Macaca fascicularis: one gene and its partner. The protein of the gene in region 1 purifies or fractionates together with the protein of each later gene. This does not show direct contact. Links are inferred from orthologs where the notes say so. Each region holds a gene or a part of one and is shown in the gene's direction. Other genes may lie near its edges.

Evidence for each region. Proteins that work in one complex are often made in the same cells at the same time.
Region 2: the proteins of CSK (region 1) and TNS3 purify together in Homo sapiens (affinity purification with mass spectrometry; 4 studies listed by BioGRID and IntAct, with this or other methods). This does not show direct contact. The link is inferred for Macaca fascicularis from reciprocal best matches to the Homo sapiens genes CSK and TNS3.

The regions. Positions count from the first base shown.
Region 1 is NC_088381.1:51,900,420-51,908,148, forward strand, and holds the start of CSK (tyrosine-protein kinase CSK), read left to right. Parts: upstream 1-2,885; 5' UTR 2,886-3,326; intron 3,327-3,461; exon of another isoform or gene 3,462-4,082; intron 4,083-7,729. UniProt on the Homo sapiens protein: Non-receptor tyrosine-protein kinase that plays an important role in the regulation of cell growth, differentiation, migration and immune response.
Region 2 is NC_088377.1:82,955,486-82,963,161, forward strand, and holds the start of TNS3 (tensin-3), read left to right. Parts: upstream 1-3,590; 5' UTR 3,591-3,847; coding exon 3,848-3,925; intron 3,926-4,171; exon of another isoform or gene 4,172-4,390; coding exon of another isoform or gene 4,391-4,450; intron 4,451-7,676. UniProt on the Homo sapiens protein: May act as a protein phosphatase and/or a lipid phosphatase. Involved in the dissociation of the integrin-tensin-actin complex. EGF activates TNS4 and down-regulates TNS3 which results in capping the tail of ITGB1.

The DNA.
Region 1 (7,729 bases):
CTTTCAATGGCTCCCCATTGCTCATATGATAAAACCCAAATTCCTGTAATAAAAATCTCTGGCCCACAACACCATATAGGATCTGTCCTTTCCTGGAACACCACTCCCCCCTGCTTGCCAGTCTCATCACCTTGGCCTTCTGGCTGTTCCTTGAGCCACTGAGGCTTTCTGTGCCTGAGGGTCTTTCACTGTCTTCCTCTCCACCTGTAATACCCTCCCCCACTCCTCCCACACTGGCCCAGACCTCTTCCTGAGGTCTGGAGGCTGAGCTCTGCCGCCCTAGTCCTCTCTCATCCATGTCTCCATGTCTCTCACCCATGGATGAAGATAGCTCATTGCCTTCACACATGTGTCTGCTTGCTCTCTTTATTTCCATATCCTCTTGGACAGGAACCTTGGCAGTCTTGCTCACCCCTTCATCTCCAGCATCCAGAACAACGCCTAGTGTAGCGGGTGACCGGTGGTGCGGAGGTAAAAGAATTTACCGAGGCCAGGCGTCGTGGCTACCGCCTGTAATCCCAGCACTTCGGGAGGCCAGGGCGGGTAGATTATTTGAGGTCAGGAGTTTGAGACCAGCCTGGCCAACATGGTGAAAACCATCTCTACTAAAAATAAAAAATTAGCTGAGCATGGTGGCACATACCTACAGTCCCAGCTATGTGGGAGGCTAAGACAGAATGGTTGGATGCTAGAGCGGGAGGTTGCGGTGAGCCGAGATCATGCCACTGCACTCCAGCCTGGGCAACAGAACAAGACTCCGTCTCAAAACAAAACAAAACAAAACAAAAAACTTGCCAAGACAGTTGTAGATAAAGGCAGATTTATTAGAAAAAGTAGGAAAATACATTGCAAGAAGGTAGAAGAGAAGCTGACTGCCAGGAAACAAAAGGTTGTTGGAGATTTTATAGAATAGTGTTATGCTATCTGTTGAGAAGGTTTTTGTGCAGTATCGACGCCGAGGGTGCAGTGAGCTAACCTGCAGGAGACTGGTGATAGTTGGGCACAGGAAGATTGTGAATTGCTTGCACAGGAGAGCTCTCTGCAATGGACATGAAGAGAGCTATGTCCTGGACATGAAGAAAGGCACACTCATAGCTTATCGAATTTCTCTTTTTGCTTTCCCTTGCTCCCACTGACCTGACTCCCTTTCCCTAATTAGCACTTCACACCTAGCACTTAGTAGGTGCTCAATACGCATTAGTTGAGAGAACGAATGAGTGAATGAATGAATGATGATGTTAGAAGTTAATTGGCTCTTCCACCAGAGGACAGGTCTGTGGGAGTGGGGCCGTTTATCGATTTGTTTATGGTTTTATCCCCAGTGCCTGGAGTACAGGAAGATTAAAAAATTTATTTCACTCTGCTGAGAAGAGGTGGAGCCAGGATTCAAATGCAGGTCTATTTGACTCCAAAGTTCACAGCTGGGCCACAGCACACCCAGGGGAAAAAGTCAAGTGTATTTGGGGATAAAGAAAGGTTGGTGACAAAACTGGAACAGGGATTAGAGTATTTTCCCCAAATCCCTAGTCCTTTCTTTCCCATTCTGCTAGCTGATTCAGCCAGAGGAGAGGAGATGTCAATTTATTCCTCCCAGAAGCCTTTGCAGAGCTGCTGAAGAGCTTTCTTTTAGGCTGAGAGGCGGCCCCCCCATCCCACCCCATATTATCATTCCATCTTGACCTCAGAAGAAAGAAAGGGAAACCAGCTCTGCTGAGCACCCTTTCCACTCCCTCACCCCCGGCCGTTATCTTGCTGAATCTGCACTATCTATCATGAGAGAAGAGTATTTTGAGTCTGATCTTACAAAAGAGGAAACAGCTCAGAGACCTTAGGTAACCAGCCCTAAGTCACACAGCTAGTAAGTGAACGGGTTGAAATTTAATTTGGAGACTTCAACCCCAAATTCATCTTTTTTCTATCACACCACACCTATCGCTGAAATTCATGACTGTCTCCTCAAAGGACATCCCTCCCCAAAGGGCTGGCTTCAGCTGGGAAACCGGCCTAAGGGTGCCCTGGGTCAGAGGGCCAACCTGTGGTTTTGGGGGCAGCTCCTGCTCCTGGCATCCAAGGCTCTTTAAAACAACTGCAGCCATACTGTCTCCCAGCTCTGTCTCCCACAGGGCTCTTTGCCCTCTTCTCGCTCCCTTGGGCCTCTTCATGCTTATTTTGTGTTACAAGACTTTGTCAGCATGCCCCACTTCCTCCCCACCAACCCCAAGAGTGCCTCTTCCCTCTGTCCACATAAGCCTGACCCTTGCTTCAGGGTCTAGTCCCTAGAAAGTCCCCCACCTTCACCTCCTCCCTACGCTGGAGTCTCTGGTCTCCTCCTCATCACTGTATGCCCATTCTGTTCCCCAGTCTCGCCCTCACCACTGTACCCCCATTCTGTTCCCCCGCCACCCTGCACTCTCCCACCTGCGTCATGCCTGAGCACGCTGTCCTCTCCTGTGGCTCAGAGCAGGTCATCTCCCTGCTTCTTTTTAACAATGATATAACAGCCCTTGCTTAACGGAGGGCTCCTCACGTGCCAGCTACTGCACACTAAGCACTTTAAATGTATTAACTAATTTCCTCCCCTCCCCACAAAAACTTAAGAAGTCGGTGCCATTATATATCACCTATTTTACCAAACGGGGAAATTAAGCACAGAGAGGTTGAGTAACTTGCCCAAGGTCACGGAGCTGCTGACAACTTCTTTATTGCCTCCAGGCTGAACATAAACTCCAAGAAAGTCCCATGAGGCTCTTTAGATCTTTTTTGCCCCTGTTGTTTGCAGGAACCCATCTCCCACCACTCTCCCCCACCCACACTGCAAGCGGCAGCCGCCTGAGCTATTTTTAGATCCCAGAAGCCACCAAGCTCCCTCCGCACTCCCCGCCCTTGTGCGTGCAGTTCCCTCTGCCCAGTCCCAGCTCTGTGAGGTCTCCCCGTTAGCCCTCGCTTTCCTTCTGCCTCCTGGGAACCGTGTCCGCCACCTCTCCACTTTGATCAATTATTTCCTTGCGATTGTCTGTTGGCCTGTCAGTCTACCCCCACCCGACCGAGAACGCCTTGACGGTAGTGAAATGATCTTGCCAATAGACTCCAGAGCAGGCTCCGCCACGATGTCAGCGCCAGGAAATGTTGGTGAATGAATGAATGAAGGCTTTCTGCCGGGAGTCAGGCCCACTCTCCACAAACAGACCTGAGGAGAGGGGCCCAGGCCCGGCCCCCAGCATTTTGGCAGCGGGAGAGCTGCGTCCAGAGAAGGCTGGGAGGTTGCTCCCAGGCCGGCTGGTGTGCGCTGTGGGGGAGACCCTGGAGCCTTCAACGTAGCCAGGCAGGCAAGTGGGGGCAGGGCGTGGGCGCGGACACACCCCCCGCAGTGCCCCCGGCGCCCGGCAGGGGGCGCCGCCCTGCCGGCCCACGCCCCGCCGCGCGCCGGGCAGGCCCCCTCGCGCAGGCGCGCTGCCGCGGGCGGAGGATCCGGGCCGCGCTTCCTCTCGCCAGGCCTGCGAGCTTCCTCCCAGCGGAGCCCCGGGCAAGCCGAGGTTGGCCGCCGCCGCCGAGCCCGCTGCTGCCCTCCCGCTCCTGCCCCACCCGCGCCTTGCCCGGGGGATCCTGCCGGGGCGGGTTCCTGCGCCGCCGTCGGGGCCATACCCCGGCCCGCCGTCCCTCCCGCCCCAGCCAGTCTCTGGCCGCCGGAGCTCGCGGGGCGTGGAGCGCGAGGAGCCTCGCGGCCGGGATCGAGCGTCCGGGGCGGCCCCCGGCAGCCAGCGCGACGTTCCAAAATCGAACCTCAGTGGCGGCTCTCGGAAGCGGAACTCTGCCGGGTCCGCGCCGGCTACATTGTTTCCTCCCCCCGACTCCCTCCCGCCCCCTTCCCCCGCCTTTCTTCCCTCCGCTACCCGGGCCCTGCGGCCGTCCCCCTGCCTCTGCCTGGCGGTCCCTCCTCCCCTCGCCTCGCACTCATACCTCTTTGTACCGTACCCCCTGGGGACCCCTGTGCCCCTCCCCTCCCCCCTGACCTCATGGACCGTCCCGCAGGCCGCTGATGCCGCCCGCGGCGGGGTGGCCTGGACCGCAGTGCCCCAAGAGAGGTGAGTGCCCGGCCGTCCCGGAGTGTCCCCTGGAGGGAAGAGGGTGGAGGTCGCGCGTCTGGTCTCTGTTGCTGCCACTGTCGCGTCCACTCCCATTCCCCCCTTCTCCCCCCTCTCCCCTCTCTCCTTTACTCCCTTGCAAGGGTTCGAATTCTCCCAGGAGCCACTGTCAGAACCCAAATGGGAAGGGAGTGCACGAGGGACGTACTGCCCTTAAGCTCCACGGACTTGTCTTCTCGGGTCATCTCGAGTCCCCGCTCTGTGGAGCTCAGAGTAGGAGGTGGCTGGAGTCTGGAGGAAGAGGATCCGTATGGGCCAGGTCCCTAGAGAGAGTGCTGGACTCCCCTGCCGTTCCCTGTCCAGGACCTCCCTGCAGGTGCCCTGACTTGCTTGGTTCTGATCCCTCCCTCATTATCCCACCGTGACCCTGCGGGCTGCAAGCAAGCCCAGGGCCCAGCCACCTCGGGTGAGCAGTTAGAAGCCCAGGTCCTGGGATTGAGTCTGTCACCCTTGGCCTCTCAGAAGACCAGGCGTAAGCCAAGGGACCTCTGACCTTTGGGTGGGAAACTGGGCAGGCCTTCCGCCTGGGTGGAGGTGACTGAGCGTTAGCACCATGCCCCCACCTTCTGGCACCCTGGGGCACCCATTCTCCTAGGCTTTTTGTGGTCCAGACCAGGTGTCAGGAAGGGGTGTGTCCAGCCAGCAGATTTTTGGAGCTTAACTACCAGTTCACTTCCCCGCCCATTTTGTACACCCGCGAACCGAGGCTCAAAGGGAGAAGTTGCTACCCCAGGCCCCTAGTGGAGTTAGGCTGGCTATCCTTTCATCCCCAGCTCTGCAGGGCTGGATGGCTGTGGGTGGAAGGAAACCAGGCAGGCACCTTCACCCACTGGGTATACAGGCCCCCCAGCCTGGCCCCGGAGGGGCTGTTGGTTGAGCACGTGCTTCCCTGCAGAGGGCTGGAGGGAGTGAAAGGGCTTCCGGCCCCAGCTGTGGCTGGGTCAGCTAGCAGGAGATGTGGGGAATGTGTGGTGTGGGGCCATCTGTGTGGTGTGGCAGGAAGGCCGGCTCCTGGCCCCGGCTCTGAGTTGAAACAACCTGGTGGTCAGTCCTGACCCAGCGCTCCCCACACCTATGGCCCAGCTGGCACAGGAGCAGCCAAGTTCAGAATATAAATGGGGTCAGATGGGAATCGTGGAAGCCCTGTCTCCACTGGCAGCAGGCTACAGAGTGGGGACACCCAGGGGGCCTATTTCAAGCTCCTAGTACCCTGGCCGTTCCAATGTCTTTCTTGGTTGTAGCCACAGCAGGAACAGGGCAAGGGCAGCAGGGGTGAAGTCGGGGCCTGGCAGGATCCTCTGGCCCAGGAGAGCAGGCAGTGCCCTGGAGGGTGTTGAGTGGTGTCTGGGCTCCCTTGGAGCTGCTGGCAGTTTTGTCCTGCTGGGTCCCTGCTCACAATTTAGGTTTTTTTGTTTTTTCAGTTTTTTTCTGGCTGTCCTGACATGCACAGTGGAGGGGACCCAGATGTCCTGGGCCTGTGAGACTCCCCTCACATGGCCCCACACCAGCCCTAACTTCCTTTCCAGCCTGAGGGACTTCGGGCTGGAGCCTGACATGGTTGGCTCCCTCCCACCCCAAGCCAGCCTTTTTAATTTTTATTTTATTTTAATTTTTACCAACTGTGAGCTGTGAGGGTGCGACCCAGGGTCCAGGGCCTTTGAAGAAAGGAGTCTGGCTTCTGGCTAGCACGTGTGCGGGGATGTGCTTTTCGTTCATTCTGAGAGGGAGTGAGCTTGGTGCCCTCCTCCCTCTCAGAAGCGGCTGCTCTTCTCTCTGCATTGGGTCGGGGCAAGGAAAGACCAGAAAATATTCCCATTTACCACTGCAGGGGGGCCAGACCCCAAAAGGCTGAGCCACACAGAGTGGCCCATGGCAAGGGTTGGAAAGTTTGGGGACAGAATGCAGCTTCCTCCAAACAAATATAGGTAGGGGTTGAGGCCCATGATCCACAGTGTGATGTGGCTGCTCCCCCCAAAGGGGGCAGACCTGTCTGGGTGCAGTTCTGGGCTCCATCTTTTGAAGGATTTTAAAACCTTGACAAGTCGTCTTCAAAGAACCAAGGATGTTGATTGAGTCTGGGAAAGAGAAAGTAGAGACAGATTCTCCTATGTCTGAGGGACTGTCCCAAATGAGAAAGGCATCCCGTGGCAGAAGTTGTCCCAGACACCTGGGCCAGCTTTAGGGAGCAGGCGGGTCCCAGGGAAGTGAATCTGAGCTCGTTCTAGGGAAACCGAATGTACTCATTTTCTTGATTTAGAAAATAACAAAACAGCGCTACAGGAAATTTAGAAAACGAAACAAAAATCACCCACTATTTCTTCAGCAGGCAGTGACTGTGTTAGCATTTTGGAGTTCCCTGCTGGTCTTTTCCCTGTCTTTTTCCTTCGTCGCCGTTGTCACTGGAGTGTGTGTACCGTGACACCTTTTTTCATTTAATACTGCGTCTGTGGGCATTTTCTCATGGTGCTACATGGTCTAAGTAATACTGCTTCTAAAAAGCTACAGAATATTCCAGGCTGGCCTGCTGCAGCGCCATTACCCATACACTGGAGCGTGTGCATCTTTCCCCTCTGTTGCTGTTGTGGTTGTCATTACTGTGAGTCCCAAAAGCAGCCAGGGTGTTGGAGGGCACAGGCAACTTGGCACTCAACTGAATATGGGTTCCAGGCTCAGACATGCCACTTAGACCCAGGGTGGAGGGACCTTAGACAGGTCACTGACCTGCTGAGCTGCCTTTATATAAATAACAGGATGGTGACACCTACTTTAGAGGAAGGTGTAAGGACAGTGTCAACTAACTAACCAAGGGGCTCTAAAGTGCCTGGCACAGGCCTTCCTCCACTCCCTCTATGAGTAGGACTGGCATTGTTGAAGGAGTGTCCACTGCTGGCTGCCTCAACCTGTGGGGAAGGTGCCTGAGCCACGAGCCAACGTTGGCTGACCACTCACCTGGCAAAGAGGTGGTCTCTGCCTGGGGAGCCCCTCTGAAACCCCCTGGCCCTGAGGTTCTAGAATACTATGGCCAGTGCCCTTCCCTGCCCTCCCCTCTCCCCATTACCATGTGATTGCCTGGCCTACAGCATGGGGCTGGCCCTGGGAAGATGGGCTGCTGGTGAGGGTCCAGGACCTGACTCCACCCTTTCCCCTTCCAGTCTCCCAGCATCAGAGCTGAATAGACAAGGCATCTTCTCTCTCTTTTTTTTTTTCTTTTTTTTGGTGAGATGGAGTTTTGCTCTTGTTGCCCAGTCTAGAGTGCGATGGCATGATCTTGGCTCACCACAACCTCCGGCTCCCGGGTTTAAGTGATTCTCCTGCCTCAGCCTTCCAAGTTGGGATTACAGGCATGTGCCATCACGCCTGGCTAATTTTGTGTTTTTAGTAGAGACGGGGTTTCTCCGTGTCAGGCTGGTCTCGAACTCTGGACCTCAGGCGATCTGCCCACCTCGGCCTCCCAAAGTACCAGGATTACAGGTGTGAGCCACTGCGCCCGGCCGACAAGGCCTCTTAAGAGCCTGGCTGCCTCCCGCCTCCCAGCTCTGGCTAGGTCAGCCCAGTTTGGCATTTTCCCAGAGGAAATAGAGGCCTGC
Region 2 (7,676 bases), on another chromosome or scaffold:
CCGAGGCTGAGGTTCTCTTACCTAGAGTTTCCATGGCCACTCCTGCTTTCTCCTGAGTGTCCTCCCAGGGCTGCCAGGGAGTCCTCCAGGATGAACATACACCTGTGATGCTTTTTCCTTTTTGCCAGTTAGAGCCCCCTGTGACCTTGGAGTCCAGCCCAGCTCAGTACCAGGGCCTCCTCCCTTGTCACTGCTTTGTGCAATTCTGCTCACCACCCTGTCTTGCTTCTTGAGCCCTGTCTACCCTCAGCGTCCCAACACAGCTGTGCATTAGCCACCCAGCCTTTGGCCAGTTCACCAACAACACGGTGCCTTACCACCTTTGCCTCTCCTCACCTCTTTTCCTGTTTGGAAAGTGCCTGCTTCTGCTTCAAGTCACAGCCCACTCGTCGAGTTCTTTCCATGATCTGGGGACTCCGTGCCCCCTCTTAATGCTGTGTGTAGATCATCCCTCTGGGAGGGACGGGGTGAGCCAGCTGCTGTATTTCCTCTGACACCAAGCACACACGCTGCTCACATATCTGTGGGTGAATGCATGATCGTGTGTGGGAATGGACGCATAGGAGCAGCCTCCAGTTTCCAATGACAAAACAGGGGCATGAGTGGCCCCTCAGCTCTCTCCCACGGAACCTTGTACTTGGTGTTAAAGTCTGACTCATGGAAGGGCTCATGTCCCCAGTTCCAGCTGGGTTTCCAATCCAGGTTGAGATGTAGCCTCTCTTCCTGATGCCTGGTTTGCTGATGTCTGCCTTAGCTGTCTGGAATCCATCCTCCCAGGGAAGAACCTCGTTTTGTTCCTGGGAACAACCTCGTTTTGTTCCTGGGAACCAGGTGCAGTCAGAAGCTAGGGTGAGACAACCCGGCCAGTAAAAAGCACAGAGGACTGTGGCAAAGCATGAAGAAAATCGGAAGCTGGGTAGCAGCATAGAGCTCACTATGGCCTTAAGATGGAGTGAGGCCAGTCTGCCACCCAAGTTTTGAGGTGAGGGTCTGTGCCTGGAGGAGTTGGCCCCCACCTGCCCTGGCTTCTGAGTCCCTTTGCATCCCCAGACCCTCAGCTACAGCTTACTTCTGGGAGGACTCAGAAGGGTGTGGTCTGAGACAGGCAGTGAACACCAGTGTTGATGCGGTAGAAATACAGCAAAGCAGAATGTTTTCATTCCTGCACCAGTGTTTATTGCTCCTGCTTGGTGCTGTGTGTGGAAAATCCCAGACAAGGTTAGGACTTCCTATTGGAGGCACAAGACTTATGACCACACTAGAGGGTCAGGGCCCCAACCATCCTTGGGTGGCTCAGCCATGGAGGATGATTAACCAGTCTGGGAGGTCAGATGGGAGGCGGATCTTCAACTGAGCCCAGGACAGCGGTTTTCAGCCAGAAAAGAGAATGGGAGAAGCCCCAGGTGAGCCCAAGGGTGCAAAGCAGAAGGACCCTGGAGGGTAAGAGCCTAGATTGCAAGCCTGGCAGGAGGAGGTCAGAGGGGGGCAGGGAGAGGGGCTGGAGAGGTGGCCTGCTGGAGAATTTGGATTGGCCTTAGGATTGAGCAGTTTCTTGCCAGTGAAAAATCAGTTTGTTGTCCTCACTCGGGAGGTTTATCACATGCATGTTATTTGTTACTAGTAATGAAGTATGGGAGTTTTCTGAATGGCTACCCTTTTAAATAAGAGCAGATTCAGGGTATCCCTGTAATAAAAAGCCACCTTCAACTATTTGCCTTCCACTCTGGCTTGCATGGGCAGTGGGCTGGCCTGTGCTCCTGACCATTGTTCCTGGGTGGACCCCAGAGAGTGTGAATCCTGGTACTCAGGTTGGAGGAGTTTTATCCTGCTGGGAGCTATCTGTTCATTGCTGAATTCAGATTTCTTCGGCCGGTTCCCGTGGGCACCGTGGTAAGGGCGGTGGTAGATCCAGCTGACCTCTGGGCGTGTTTGTCTTGGGTAAACCACGACAGCAGCATGTCCTGTTCTTAGCTGTTTGTAGACACTTCTGTGTACCTGGTATTGTGTCAGATGTGAAGGAATCTGGAATGAATATGATACAGATGTGTTCTCAGGGAAAGACATTTGAAAAAACTAAAGTTTGGATACGCTATAGGAAAAAAATGATGAATGAATACAGGAAAATGAAGGAAGGAATGAATATAGAAAAAGGTGAGTAATGATGTCATTTGAAGGACAGGGGGAAATGAGAATGCCTGCTTGTCTGCCAGGTGATGATTTAGTGAGGAATTGGAACCCAGAATGGTGTGTTCTAGGAGGAGGTTTTTTCCTTTGTAGTTGAAAGTTGAAGAGCAGCTTTGCTCTTCTACTGCAGAAACGGAAAGATGGATATTTAGTGCCAGAACTTGAGAGGTTAACGTCGGCCAGTTGAATTGATGGCTGGAATTTGCACATATGTCAGCCATAAAGGCCACGACTTAGCCCACCCATACTGCTCCCCACATCCAAGGCATGTGGAGTTGCACGTGGAGTTGTAGATCCGAAGTTGGAGTGTTGGAGCCACAAAGGCTGAGCTCTGGGACACTACCCCTAGGCTGGGCCTGGAGTGAAGGCCGGTAGTAGGAGTACAGGGTTAGCTGGCCTGAGGCTAGAAGGCCCCCTATCCTACTCTGAGGCAGGGATCTCTTCCCCTGCCCCCCACAGACCACAGGCAGTGGCTTCATCTTGAACATGATCTTTTATTTTCAGTCTTGCCACAAAGCTTCTTGTAGACAGCCAAGATCCACTGCCCCGGGAAGGCTGGTGAAGTCCGACAGGCGTTGAAAGGAGGGATCTGCCTGTGGATCTTGCCCACCTCTCCTCCTGCGTTTCTAAGTGACCCTTCCTTCAGGATCCTGGCTTGTCCATCTTCTTCCATCACCCTGTCATCTTCACCTCCTGAACCTCGGGTTTCTAATTTCCTTCTAAAATCGCAGACCCATAAAGGAAGACGGGACTCGAGATCTGCTGTGAATTTTCCTGATTTGCCAGGAGCAGGACGGCGGGGGGGTTGGGAGGGGCGGTGCGGGGGAGGGATGGGCTGGGAGATAGGGAGGGGGGCAGGGAGGTGCAGCCCAGCCCCCAGGTGTGCAAGGCCCCGGGCGGTCCTGTGCTTTGAGCTTTGCTTGAAATCCTCACCTGGTTAGGCGTGTCCTTTGCAAGGCCAGGCTCCTAGTTTTTCCTAGTTGAAAAGGCAAATTAGAAAAAAAGCCTTTCTGCCTCGGTGTTTCCCTGTTTTCCACTCCAAATGCCCTGTTTGCCAGTGTAGATTACCAGGGTAGTGCAGATTACTGCTCATTACAGATGCAGAGTTGACTGGATAATAGTTAAGATTTAGAAATTCCGAAAGTCGAAGAGCGTGCCCGGTTTTGATTCTTTTAAGCCCCTCGCCAGCGTTCTCGGAGAGGTTTGAAATCCTAGTAAAGCTGAACCCTGCACCAAGCTCCGCGCGTCCGTAATTCCAGTCAGATGGCGGCTGCAATACCCTGCTCCCTCCGCCTGGAAGGCGTTTCTTCACCCACTTTTCCAGTGTTTGGCGGCTCAGCCTGTGCCTCCGCGCTCGCTCGGAGCTGCGGTTGGGGCGGGCGGGGGAGGGAGGGCTAATTCGTGTCAGATGGAGGGACGCCGTGCGGGACCGTGCTCTCGCGCCTGCCTTTTGTTCCCGGCGTCTGACTTCTGACGGACAGGAGTGGCCGTGGAGGCGGCGGCGCGCGGCTGGGACCTGGAGAGCCCTTCGCTCCTCCCGTGTTGGCCATTTGCTGGGACTTGTGTCCGCAGGGAACTCGGGAGGCATCCTCTGCCCCGACCGCCACTGGGGAGGGGTCCTCGCCTGGCCGGGTCGGGCTCCCCGCGGGCGGCAGGGGCGGCCATGCGGCTGCGCGCCCTGACCCCCGGGCCACCGGGAGGGTTCGCGCGCGGAACCCGGGCGCGCCGGCGCCGGCGCCAGGTGAGTGCGGCCCGGAGCTGGGGTGCGGGGCCGGGGGCGCGAGGCACGGGCGCCTTCAGGGCTGCACGCACGTGGGCTGCGCCGGGTGTGCGCTGGTGCCCGTGGACGCTGTGCCGGTGTGTACCCGCCTGTGCTCATGTGTATGCGTGTGCCCTTGTCAGTGCGCGTATGTCGGTGTGTGTTTGTGCACCCCCGTCTGCACGTCCACGCGTGCGTGCTTGTGAGCGCGCGTCTGTGTGTACAGGCATGTGTACGCTGGTCCGTGCCAGAGTCCTGGTGGGTGCGTGTGTACCCTTGTGGGTACGTGTGTACCCTTGTGTGTGTGCGCGCAGGACAAGGAGCGAGAGGGCCAGTGGAGCTTTGCCTAGTGGGAGCGGCTTCTGGTAAGCATGGAAGAGGGTCCAGGCTTAGCTCTTTCCAACCCAACAGCCTCTTGAAAAGGCTTCTTGGTTTCCTTTCCCTGCAATGGAATTGGGATTCTGGCCATTACGCAGACCTGCTGTCTCTCGCGTGTTTCTTGCAAAGGTAAAGGGCATTTTAGCTCTTCAATAATGTGGGGGATGCGCTGGGATGTAGGAATCCTTACAGGTTCCCTGTGGACCGCATGGTTCCAGCGGCGCTCTGCGGTCCACAGGACGGCCCTTCACGGTGTTTGAATTAAACAGACCCGTCCTGGTTGGCTCCCGCTAGGTTCAGCGCCCTTTCCCTAAGTCTAACAATCAGGAATTTATTGCATTTGTTTTTCTGAAACTTTTGTAAGGCTCTGTGGAGTGAAAAACTGTTAAAATTTCAGCTAGTTACTTGAGGTGTACTGCGTTCCCTCTTAAAGTTTAGTGGTCAAACGCTGCTGCCTGGAAGTGTGGGAACAATATGTGCTGGATGTGGAGGGTGTCCCTCTTGCCCCAGATACTGGCTCCCTGTGGGCTGGGAAATATCCCCGAGGCCCGGAAGTGTTCCTGGCTGTTTAATATCAGAGTAAAGTTGGGCTGGGAATGTGTTTTTCATCAGTGCCTGCCTCTCTAGAATGCCTCTGAAGGTTTCCCAGGTGCCTGAATGCCCACCTAAATCCTTTTACTACGGTGGAGCTGAATATTTCCTGAAAGGAAAACATAGCAGGGATTGTGCTGATGCAGCTTTGCACTTTTGCGTGTGTAACCATTTTGCCAGGCGACCTTTAGCCGGGAGAACCTATCCGAGAGGTCCCTGCGGTTTTGCATTTCGGCAGAGTGGAGCATTCATGTGGAGCACCTCCCTGTTCAATTTTGCAGAGATTTTTCTTTCTGAAAAGAGACCTCACAATCAAGACCAGCACTAATTACTGTGTCCCCCTCAGGGAGTCCTTGTGGAACCAGCAGCCTGCTTTCTACCCTTCCAACATTTTGTTCCTAACAATTAAGTGCAATTTAGATTCCTGAACTGAGCCTGCTAAATACTTCAGCATTGCTGCCTCCTCTCCCCCTTTGGGAGAAATGAAAGCACAGTATCAGGTGAAAACAAGGGCAGTCTAATCCCGTCTGGTCTCATTTCACAATAGAGATGTTATGTACAGATGAAGCGTGAGCAGATGTTATTACACTATCTTAAATGAACTCCTCAGGGATCCAGCAATTCAAATGGCTGAGCCCTCGCAGCAGCGCTTCTGCTGTTTCCCTCTTTAAGTTTTCTAGCTGTGGACCAGTGGGCAAGAAAGCTGCAGAAAACAGTGCCTCTTTCTCCCTGGTTGGAATAAAGGTGTTTGTAAGGAATAAAAGGTCACAGTATCTTTCCTTGGCCCACAGACTGTGGCTAATTCATTTGGTCAACAAATATTAATTGAGGGTCCATGGTCCACTGTCTGCCAGGCGCTGGGCAGGGCCCTAAGAGGACAAAGGGGAAAGAGCCTGGTGTCCTGCATCTAGGAAATTGCAATCTAGCACAGGAGAGAAGGCGTATACACAAATAACTGCAGTATGAGTGAAAAGTATGTACCAGCTGCTGCATTGCAATAGAGAGATGTGTTTGTTAAGTGTTTGAATGCTACTCTTGTCTGAGCGTGAGACTGGGGCTTGAGGCATATGGGGCCCGAGTCCCATATGCCACATCCATTGCCTGTGTGGTGCTGCATCTTGGTTTTGCATCTCACCATCGCGGTTTGTAGACTAGTGGTGATTACGGTAATGACACAGAAGCACTTGGCTAGTGTTACCAACTGCATAATTAGCAGCATCATTATCCTTCTTTTGCAGAGCATTGAACACACAACCTCTGTTATCAGAAAGGATGCAATCTCTTTGAAAAAACCAGATACCGACATAGTAACAACTGCATAATAACAGTGCCTTAAATGTATGTAGATACTTATAGAATAGTCTGTCATATACAGTGGTGGTTCTGTCTTGGCCACAAATTGGAATCACGGGATGGAGTTGGGGTTGGGGGGGGTTTGACAGCATTCCAGTGTTCTGATTCAACCTCCAGGTAATCTGATTTAATTGGTCTGGGGTGGAGACTGGGTCAGCTGTTTTAAAAACTGCCCCAGTGATTCCTATGAACTGATAGATGGTATAGCATTTGGTCATTTATAATAGCTGTTCAGAGACAGGAGGGGAGGATATCTTTTCTATTTAAGAGAGGTTGTGACTTGTCCTGGGCCACGGAGCCTGTAGTGTAGGTATCAGAACCTATGTGAAGGTTTCTGCTTTTCAGGTTCAGGACACTGTCCTTTACTTTCCTTTTTTTTTTTTTTTTTTTTTTTTTGAGACAGAGTCTCACTCTGTCAACCCAGGCTGGAATGCAATGGCATAATCTCAGCTCACTGCAGTCCCCGCCTCCCCGGTTCAAGCGATTCTCCTGCCTCAGCCTCCCAAGTAGCTGGGATTACAGGTGCCTGTCACCACGTCTGGCTAATTTTTGTATTTTTAGTAGAGACGGGATTTTGCCGTGTTGGCCAGATTGGTCTTAAACTCCTGAGCTCAGGTGATCCATCCGCCCGCCTCGGCCTCCCAAAGTGCTAGGATTACAGGCATGAGCCACCACACCCGGCCATGAAGTTTTTAATTAGGTGATTGTATTAGTCCATTTTCATGCTGCTAATGAAGACATACCCGAGACTGGGCAATTTATACAGGAAAAAGGGCTTAATGGACTCAGTTCCACGTGCTGGGAAGGCCTCACAATCATTTTGGAAGGTGAAAGGCACATCTCACATGGCAGCAGGCAAAGAGAGAGAGCTTGTGCGGAGAAACTCCCCCTTATAAAACCATCAGATCTCATGAGAATTATTCATTATCAGGAGAACACCACAGGAAAGACCTGCCCCCATGATTCAGTTACCTCCCACTGGGTCCCTCCCACACCACATGGGAATTCAAGATGAGATTTGGGTGGGGACATAGTTAAACCATATCAGTGATTACATGTTTAGGATTGTTAACGTGTTCTTGATGAATCAATCCTTTTATTATTATGAGAGGACTTTCTATATCCTTGGTAATGTTCTTTGATCTGTAGCCTATTTTGTCTAATATAGCCACTCCAACTTCCCTTTGATTAAAGTCAGCAAGGGTACCTCTCTTTTCTAGCCTTGGTCTTAAAAAAAAAAAATGCCCTGGTGTGGGGGCTCACGCCTGTAATCCCAGCACTTTGGGAGGCTGAGGTAGGCGGATCATGAGGTCAGGAGTTTGAGACCAGCCTCACCAACATGGTGAAACCCTGTCTCTACTAAAAATACAAGAATTAGCTGGGCATGGTGGCAGGCACCTGTAATCCCAGC